2 linked regions of the Canis lupus familiaris genome follow. The protein of the gene in region 1 purifies or fractionates together with the protein of each later gene. This does not show direct contact. Links are inferred from orthologs where the notes say so. Each region holds a gene or a part of one and is shown on either strand. Other genes may lie near its edges. The genes, in order: PITPNM3 and VAPA.

Evidence for each region.
Region 2: the proteins of PITPNM3 (region 1) and VAPA purify together in Homo sapiens (co-immunoprecipitation; 3 studies listed by BioGRID and IntAct, with this or other methods). This does not show direct contact. The link is inferred for Canis lupus familiaris from reciprocal best matches to the Homo sapiens genes PITPNM3 and VAPA.

What each region holds. Positions count from the first base shown.
Region 1 is NC_049226.1:30,970,177-30,974,757, reverse strand, and holds the start of PITPNM3 (membrane-associated phosphatidylinositol transfer protein 3), read right to left. Parts: upstream 2,967-4,581; 5' UTR 2,873-2,966; coding exon 2,761-2,872; intron 2,154-2,760; coding exon 2,058-2,153; intron 1-2,057. UniProt on the Homo sapiens protein: Catalyzes the transfer of phosphatidylinositol and phosphatidylcholine between membranes (in vitro). Binds calcium ions.
Region 2 is NC_049228.1:75,932,766-75,937,365, forward strand, and holds the start of VAPA (vesicle-associated membrane protein-associated protein A), read left to right. Parts: upstream 1-1,719; 5' UTR 1,720-1,734; coding exon 1,735-1,811; intron 1,812-3,319; coding exon 3,320-3,351; intron 3,352-4,600. UniProt on the Homo sapiens protein: Endoplasmic reticulum (ER)-anchored protein that mediates the formation of contact sites between the ER and endosomes via interaction with FFAT motif-containing proteins such as STARD3 or WDR44.

The sequences.
Region 1 (4,581 bases):
ACACGCTCTCGGGTGGACGTGCGCTCTCCCTCCCCCCGGGCAGACACCCGGCGGCAGGACGGTGCCCCGGGGGTGAGGACCACGAGCTGTGGAGGAGCTGGAACCCACTACACACGGCCGGACCGCAGCTGCTCCTGCCAGCAGTTTGCAAATCCCAACTCCTCCATCAGGGTCGGTGGAGGCAACTGGCTGTCCTCGCGGGCAGGGGGCAGTGTCACACCACGGTCTCAGCTGGTGTTTCCCGGAGGACGGACGGTCCAGTGTGTCTCCTGTCTCTGCTGAGGTGTCTCTTCCCTTGTTTTATTTTCGGCAACTGTTGCTGCAGCTCACCCACTGGCCCGCTGTCTCCCTGTCCCCAGCCACGCGATGGCCCCTCCGTGAGGGCAGCGCCCACGATGCCCGCCCTGCAAGGGCAGCGCCTGCTCCCTGATGGGTGGACACCCAGTGAACATAGACAGTGGAGGGGGTGGTTTCAGCCCCGGCTCTGCCCAACCCCGAGTGACCCTGGACAAGCCTCCTAGTCCTCAGGGCTGTTCCCCAGCCTGGATGTGGGCGGCCAGACGAACTCAGCTTGGGCGTGGTAGGGGCTTGAGCCATGGGCCCCCCGATGCCCCCAGGTTTGGCCCCACTCTATACCCCACCCTCAGAGGCTGCACCGTGGCCCCCAGATCCCCTTGGACAACAGGAGGGACGCACCTCTCCTAGTTCTGAGGACCTGGACCCCATTGCCCAGCCCGCAGCACCCATGGGGGCACTGGCCATGTGGCCCACGGAGCTGCGTCCTGCCTGGGCGGCGTGGGGCGCACAGACTGCTCTGTACCCCTGCCAAGGCCCCCAAGCCGCCCACACACGAGGGGGATCCTGCCCCCTCCCCGGGGCCTAACCATCCCCCCTGTACATGGCAAGGGGCTCTCATCTTGCCAGGGAAACCCCCATATGAGGTGGGGTGTGCATGGGGGAGTCACGGGGGAAGGCTACAGGGGAGGTCATGGGGGAGGTCATGGGGGAAGGTCATGGGGAGGTCACAGGGGGGTCACAGGGGCAAGGTCATGGGGGGTGGTGGCAGGTGCAGAGGGAGGTGCAGCCTGTGGGGTAGGGGCAGGATGTGCCCACAGCTGCTGGAGGGAAGCAGGTGAGCAGGCCCTCAGCACTGCCCGTCACCTGCCATCCCCACCGTCCGGGAGCACCCACCCTGGTGAACTGCAAAATATTTGAAATAAAAGTGTTCTGAGCATCAAAATATTGACAGCACTGTTGTCACACTGTCAGCCGGTTGCCACGGAGAAGCAGCCCCACAGCCACTGCAGCCAGACACCCACGGGAGGCAGCACGTGAGGCCCAGCTGGGCCGGGGAGGGCTGGGGAGGCCTGGCACCCGGGCCCTGCTGCCCTGAGTTGGAGTCTTCCCCGTTTCCAGAGGTGCAGAGGTGACGGGGAACCCGAGGCACCGCAGAGGCCACGTCCCCAGGGTCCCGCTCAGGCACAGTCTGTCTGCCTTTCAAGACCCTGTTCGGCCAGGTGTTTCAGAGCTGCCGCCCCAGGAGCGAGCAGATGCCTGGACGTGGTGACTTCCCGGGGCGGGGCCGGACGGGCAGTGAGGACCGGCCCTGGGTACAGAGGAGGCCTCAGTGCATCTCGTCCCCGCCCACTCAGGCCGGGCAAGCGTGGCCGTGGGGACTCTCCCTCGGACATTGTGGGCAGACCTGCCGCCCACCGGCACCGCCTCCTTTCCTCGCCTCCATCCCCACGTCCCCCCAGGGCCTGGTCACCAGCTCTGTTGGCACCTGGGCCATTGCACTGGGTGGTGTTGCTTCCCCTGCGGGAGCCTGTCTTCCTCCAAGTCCCGCCTGGTCCCCCTCTCCCCCAAACCCCAAGCCCGCAGAGGATGGTGCCCATGCCCCACGGCCGACGAGAAAGGCAGAGCCCCTGCCCTGGGGATGCACGGGTCGGTACATGTGAGTGTGGGACATGGTGCGAGTGTGGGACGTGGTGGCCCCAGGAGAGACGCCAATGCTCATCAGGGATCCCTCTAATGATGGGGCGAGGGCATTCACTTACCTCTGGCATCAAAGAATTCATCGTCAGAGCTCTCCACCGAGTCGCTGAGGACAGTTCGAAGGTGCCAGGGGGCACCACCACCTGGGGGAGGACCACCTGCCAAGGGGAACACACTCATTAGCCAGGCCTGAGCCCGTGTCCCTGCGTGAGGCCCCACGTGGCCGAGACCAAGGCCAGCCTTCCCAACCCCATCGGCGCCCCATGCCTCGCTAACCAGCCAGACACTGTGCTTGCATTCAGGCTCCAGCTCCTCCAACAGGAGGGAATGAGCGCTCCCCAAAACCGAAACTGGAGGCCATCAAGAGGCCCCCAAGGTGGCCCGGGGCCAGAACGCACAGTGGGCCGTGCTGCGTGGACACAGGGTGTCAGCCAGTGGGAAGGGGCTCTGTCCACAGTGGCCACTCAGCCACCTGCTGATGTGAGACATCCAGGTGGGCAGGACAGGCCCCATGGCCCAGGATGTCACACCGGGCCCAGAACACGTCTTCCCACAGGCAACGTGCTTCTGTGTGTTTCCCCGTTGCAGGCAGGCGACAGGCCCTGCCCAAGGCCATCGGGAGGGCGAAGGGGCCGACACAACTGCGTGTGCAGGCCTGGACGGCGGCCTCGGCAGAGACACAGGCCCCAGTGTGTGTGTGTGGGGGGGGAGCCTGCCTGAGCTCCACTTGCGCCCCGTCCTCTTTCCACAGCCTTGGCTCCCCACCTACAGTGCCCACCGCAGTCCGCCCTGAGCTCCAAGGATCCGTGTCAGCCTCTTGGGGGGCCTGGGGCGGCCACTGCTGGATCACCCGAACCATCCACAGAAGCCAGGCCATGGCATCGGACCTCCTCAGGGCCCTGGATGGAACCAGCCGGTGCCCAGGGCACCCTCCACTGGGCAGAGCCACGAAGGGCTGGAGATGGCAGGTGGGCGAAAACCTGTCAATGCTGAAACCACAAAGGTGCTGGGGGGATGCTCCCAAGAAGCTCACAATCGACAGTTGACCATTGAGCCCTGGCAACACCAGGGCCTGGATGACACCCCAGCATCTGTGATGCAAGGGCTCCCCATGTGTGGATGTGGCCACATTGCAAAAACACAGGGGACTCGGGCGGCTGCTGCTTAAGAGCTCAGGGCTGAGGACAAACAGGATCCCAGCTCAGCCCTCATCCCCAAGAAGCTGTGCACCGGCAGGTGAGCCCCCCGCCCCTCTGCTCCTCAGGGCCCCGGCTGTGAGGTGAGGACATGCATACCCACCTCGGGAGCCTGAAAACCTCAAACCAAGGCCTCGGTGTGCTCACCAGCACATTTTTTCACACATTAACATCTTTAAAACCAGAGCATGTCTTGGGGCACCCAGGGGGCTCAGCAGTTGAGAATCTGCCTTTGGCTCAGGGCGTGACCCCAGGGTCCTGGCATCGAGTCCTGCATCGGGCTCCCCAGAGGGAGCCGCTTCTCCCCCTGCCTCTGTGCTGGCTCTTTCAAATAAATAAATAAAATCTTAAAGAAAATATAAAAACCAACTCGGAGCATGTCTTACATAACAGCACATCGTAGTTCATGGCTGGTCCTTGGGTTACACGAGCTTGAGCTGCACAAGTCCACTTACACACGGTCCTTTCGATAAACACAGGTGTTTTTCCTCTCAGTAGACTTCCTTACGTGTTTCTTAATAACATTTTCTTTTCTTTGGCCTGACCCACAGCGACTACAGCACATAGTGCATACGACACGCACGACACAGACTCATTGGCTCTTTATGCTCCTGGTGAGGCTCTGGCTGATGGTGGACAACAACCAGTGAGATTCTGGGGAGTCAGCAGTCATCTGTGGGTTTTTGACCATGCAGAAGTCAGCACCCCAGGCGCCCATGGAGTTCGGGGCTCAGCTATAAATGGTTTTGCTTATTCTTCCTCGGGGTTTATAAAATAATCATGTATCTTAGGCATTGGCTGCACCTTAGATTGTATGGAAAACAGTATGACCGTCAGGCACACGGAGCTTGCCATTGCTGAGGTGTCAGCCCCGACCAGCAGGCACACGTCTCGTTTCTGTGCCTCAGTTTCCCCATAGGCACAATGAGGAACCTGACAGAGAACCTCCCTTTTCGATTCTGGCTGGTGTTGGGGAACCTGTCCGCACATGCAGCAGATGCCAACGCACAAGTGAGAGGTGTGTGCTCTCCCTGGGCATGGCTATGGGGACACAGATAGCCCCAGGGAGCCCGCAGCAGCCCCGCTCCCCTGCAGGACCTGGCATGGGTCCCTGCCCTGAGCCCAGAGCCTGGAGCACACACTGTTCTGTTCCTGAAGGGCAAGGTCAGCCCTGTTGGCCCAGGGACAGCACCTCCCACCCATTCCCTCCACCTGCCCGACCCCTTCACCACCTGACCCCCCACCCAACCCACCACAAACTCCCCAACACACACCCTTCCTGTTCCCAGGCCCTGGATTTACTGCCAACTCATGAACACACACTGTGGCTGGGAGCCAGGCCAGAAGCTCGTCCCAAAGCCCAGAAGTGACCTATAGGTGCGACACTGGG
Region 2 (4,600 bases), on another chromosome or scaffold:
CATACAATAACGTTCATATATTACATTATTTTAGTTACTGAAGAGTTATTAGTCATGATTATGGAACAAGTTTTTCTTGTGTTATGAATGAAAATAATTCACAATGACCATTTTTAAAAGTTTGGATATCAGTGACCACTTTTTAAAATTGACTTTTAAAAATGTATTTCACTGAAAAGTTTATGAAGACATATTTGGTTGGGCCACTTAGTGAACACTTACTGAAAGCTTTGTGCCATCCCTATATTTAATTAAGAGTATTCAACTAAGTAATTCAACAGTTATCAGATTATATTTGGGGATTCAGTACTAAACAAGGTGGGAAAAGATGTACAGTTTGTAGTTTAATAGAGAAAGCGTCCAGTAAAACAGTGAAACGTGTTAGGTTTTTTCTTTGTCCTTGAAGAACTCAGACTTGTGAGGGAGACCAAAGGCACATAGGTGCTATTAACAGAGGCAGGACTGGTATGAAGAAACCCCCAGGTTTCTTGGAAGAGGCTTATTTTCATTTGGGGGGTGGGGGGAAAGGGATGGGCAAGGGAGTGGTTGTTTACTCAACTACTGATGTAAGAGAATGTGTGGCTTATTTATTTATTTTCTCTCTTAAAGCAGGCTCCATGCAGGAGCCCGATGTGGGACTCGATCCCGATCCTGGGACTCCAGGATCAGCCCCGGGCCAAAGGCAGGTGCTAAACCACTGAGTCACCCAAGGATCCCCGAGAATGTGTGGCTTATACTTAGTGGTTTGAACTGTGCTTTTCTGTTCCAGGGTGGGATAATGGGGAGGATTGGGGAATAGGAGGGGTAGGGTGAATTAGGAGAGATGACCTTTGATGTCATTTGATTCCCTTCTTCCTAATGTTCTTTTTCTAGTCAAAGGTAAATAATTTGCTTTGATGGAAACCTCTCCATATTCCAAAGCACAGTTCAACACTAAGTGAGGAGACTTATTTAGAATCCACAGTCTCCTTATCCTTAGTTTGATGATGATATATAGTCATTTCATTCTGACTTGCCCTAAATCATCTGTAGTTTTTAGTTAAGTGTGTTAAAGGATAGTTTGCTAAATTCTTTATCTTTTTTGTAGGCTTATTTGAATTCTTTTGAACTCTACACTTGACGGAGATCGTTTCTCCAATAGTGACTCGTTTAATCATTTTGAGAATAGGTGGTGAATTTTTCTGTCATATGCATAGCAATCATCTTGATAGGAATTATCAGCACTTTGCACAATTATGGAGAAACATATACCAGTTTAATACATTTTTCTAATATCTCTATTTTATTAAAAATTTTGTTTTATACAGTTGTTAACCTATGAAGGTGCTTTTATAATGGTGTAATGAATTCTAAGGTAGCTCTTTTGTCGGATTAGTAAAGAAAAAGAGGTAGGTATTACCAAATTTTGTTTAAACACTGTCAGTAATTTGACCTAGAATTCAGATGTGAAATTTGATATTATATCTGAGAGATGGTTTCTTTGTGCTGTTATAGTTTTACTATTACAGCATTTTTTTCCATTGTATTATATTATATTTTTCCTGCCTACTAGTGGTTTTGGAGAAAAGTTGGAAGAAGGAAATTTAGAAAATGCTAAAATAAAATGTGAATGTATTCTTCCTCCTAGTAATCAGAGAAAGGAAAATAGACCAGAACCATTCTGTTAAAGGTGGCCCATAACAAAATCAAGCGAATAAAGAAAATTAAGCTCTCTGAGGAACCAAGAAACCTGTGATGTCAGCCAGAACATCTTTGAATAGCAACATAATACTGAGAAGTACAAGTGAGGATGTAGAGTTCTTCTACTCTTGGTAGATATTTGGCATATTTTTAGGTCTTTCAGATCAGCTCTTATTTCACAGTGGCTTCATCGGATCCCTAGGGTGATTTCCCCCTTCTCTGGGCCACAGATGACATCTTATTACTCCATTCCTTAAAAGCTCTCAAGTAGCTCTTGATTGCCCACTGGATCCAAATCTATTGGATCAAAAATAGATAAATATATATATATATATATATATATTTTTTTTTTAGTGTGGTATTTACGGTCTTCCATGATGTGCTGTCTTCTCTTTTAACACCTGTTGCATCTTTACACATCTATACTCCACTCCCCCCCCCCCCCCGCCCCCAAGAAAGAAAAACCCTTCTCCTATCCAAGCTTGTTTGTTCTGCTGTTTTTGTTGGTTAAGGTAAAATCCCTCATGACTCATACTTAGACCATGTTCCCTCAGATATTTTCCCTCTCATGTTTTCAACCACCGGCTTCTTCCTTTAAACATACAAGTACACATAAGTCTTTCATTGTAAAAGCAAATAAACAAAGTACTTGACTCCCAACTCCTTCTGGTATATGTCCCTCCCTGCCCCTCATTTCTTTTGCAGTCAGACTTATTGGAAAAATTGTCCGTGTGCACTGTTTAGTTTAGTTTCTCACCTCTTGTCCCCTGTAGTATTCTGTCCTCACTGCTTATTGCTTGCTGATCGCATTGATCATTTCCAATTCATATCTCTGTGGCACTTTACATTATTAACAGTTCCTCTTTTTAAAAACAATTCTTTTGACTTCTATGTAATTGTCTTCTAATTTTCTTTTTTGCTCTCTTTATTGTCTCATTTATGGGCTTTTTCTTAATTGCTAATATTTCTGAGATTCTGATTTGGTTTTTTATCTCTGTGAACTTTGCTTCTTCAGTCTCCTGGTTTTTGATGGCTTCACCTTCTCTTGCTCTATCTTTGCACCTGTTGGTTCACACTCAAATTTGTATTTTAATTAAGACTTTACAGAGTCAGTTTTAGAATTGCTTGCTGACTATCTGGATTTGAATTTTGACTCAGTTTTTGGGGGAGTATGGGACAGAAGGGGAGAGAGAGTCTTAAACAGGCTAGAAACCCCACATGAGGTTTGGTCTCACAACCCTGAGATGATGACCTGAGCCAAAATTAAGAGTCAGATACTAAACCGACTGAGCCACCCAAGCACCCCTTGACTCAGACATTTCAAACTTGGTATATCCCAGATGGATTTTTTTTTTTTTTATAACCCAAGCTTACTTGTCTTCCATATTTTTAATTTTTTGGTGGCATCGTGATTATTTATATTAGAAATACTCTGTATATCTGCTAATTAAAATCTGTATTTCTACATCCCAGAGATAATTTTTGAATCTGTCTCCTTTAAAACAACTCTGCTTTTAAATTTATTCATTTTAATTCATTTAATTATACAATAAAGATTTGAATTTCTGCAATGTAGAAGTATTGAGTAAGTGTTAGAAGTACAGTTTTGAATAAAACACTATCTTTGTTTTTCATGCAGCAGTCCCAGTCGGAGAGAGAGACACCAGTCAGGTAATCAGCAAAAGGAACTGTAGCTCTGAAGAGGTGTGTAGGGCTATGAAAACATAAAATTGAGGACTTTGATCTGCTCAGGGAAGACACAATTGGACTAAGATTTTCTAAGAATGAGAAGTTTCCTAGGTGAAAAGGAAAGAAAACTGCAGTAGGCGCTGCATGTATTTACAAAGATCCTGTGGCAGGAGGGAACCTGAAACATTTAATGTTAAAGTAATCTCATGAGTGTGGTGCTGGTTTCTAGGTTGACTAAGGAATTTTGTTTTTATCTCACAGGGATTATAAGTGGGGGGAATGGTAGAGTGGGGGGAATGTAGTGATAACTCAAATTTGTACTAAAACAATTTCCATAATTCTGGTAACAACATGAAGTAATATTAGAAGATAGAGATTAGGCAGTTTTTTTAGTTCAGGCAAGAGGTGACAACTTGGTCTGAGGTATTGGAGATGGTGAAAAGTTAGAGGGTCAAGCCAGTGAGACTTGGTGGTCTATATTGGATAACGCTCCTGCAGAGTAGAGGTGTGTTGGATGTCTTTGAGATTTCTGGCGTATGTAACTGGAGGAATGATGGTGTCCTGGGCTGTGCTAAAAAAAGAAACACTGGTATTTATTTGAATGAGGACCACGTGTGTTTTACTTGGGGGCGTGTGGGAGAGCGATAGGAGGAGGGTCCTGGTCTCATCTGGTGTGTTAAATGTGTTTAGGTCCTTTAAAGAGATTAATGCAAAGTAACTAGTAGATTTTGGTTATATGGATGTATTACTTAGGGAGGGATCTGGGTGGGCTTTGGGTAATTATTTTAGGTCATTATCGCTTGCCTTTTTTCTACTACAAGTCTGTAGACAGGCCTGCTTTTCACTAGTGTCCCTCTCTCTTCAGCCTCTCTTCCACACTGCTGCTAAGAACTATCCTTTGTAAATGCAAACTTCAATGCTATTGCTCCCTTGGGTTATCGAACCTGCTGGCACATTTCCCCAGTATGTAGATGAAAAAGTCCAAAACCCAATGCCTGCCTCTCCATTCCCTTCTACACATAGCTTTGGTTACATGAAACCATTTTCCCCAACACTTCAAGCTGTTGCAAGGCTTTGCACATGCTCTGTCCCGAATATTGTTCTCCCTCATATCTGTCAAGCAGTCTCCAGTTCAAGAATCCTTTCCTTTTGTGAAGTCCTTGATTCTTGCCGTCCAAGTTGGTCACCGCCTTCCTTTTTCAGGCCAGTGTTGAAGCTTGTGCTTATCTGT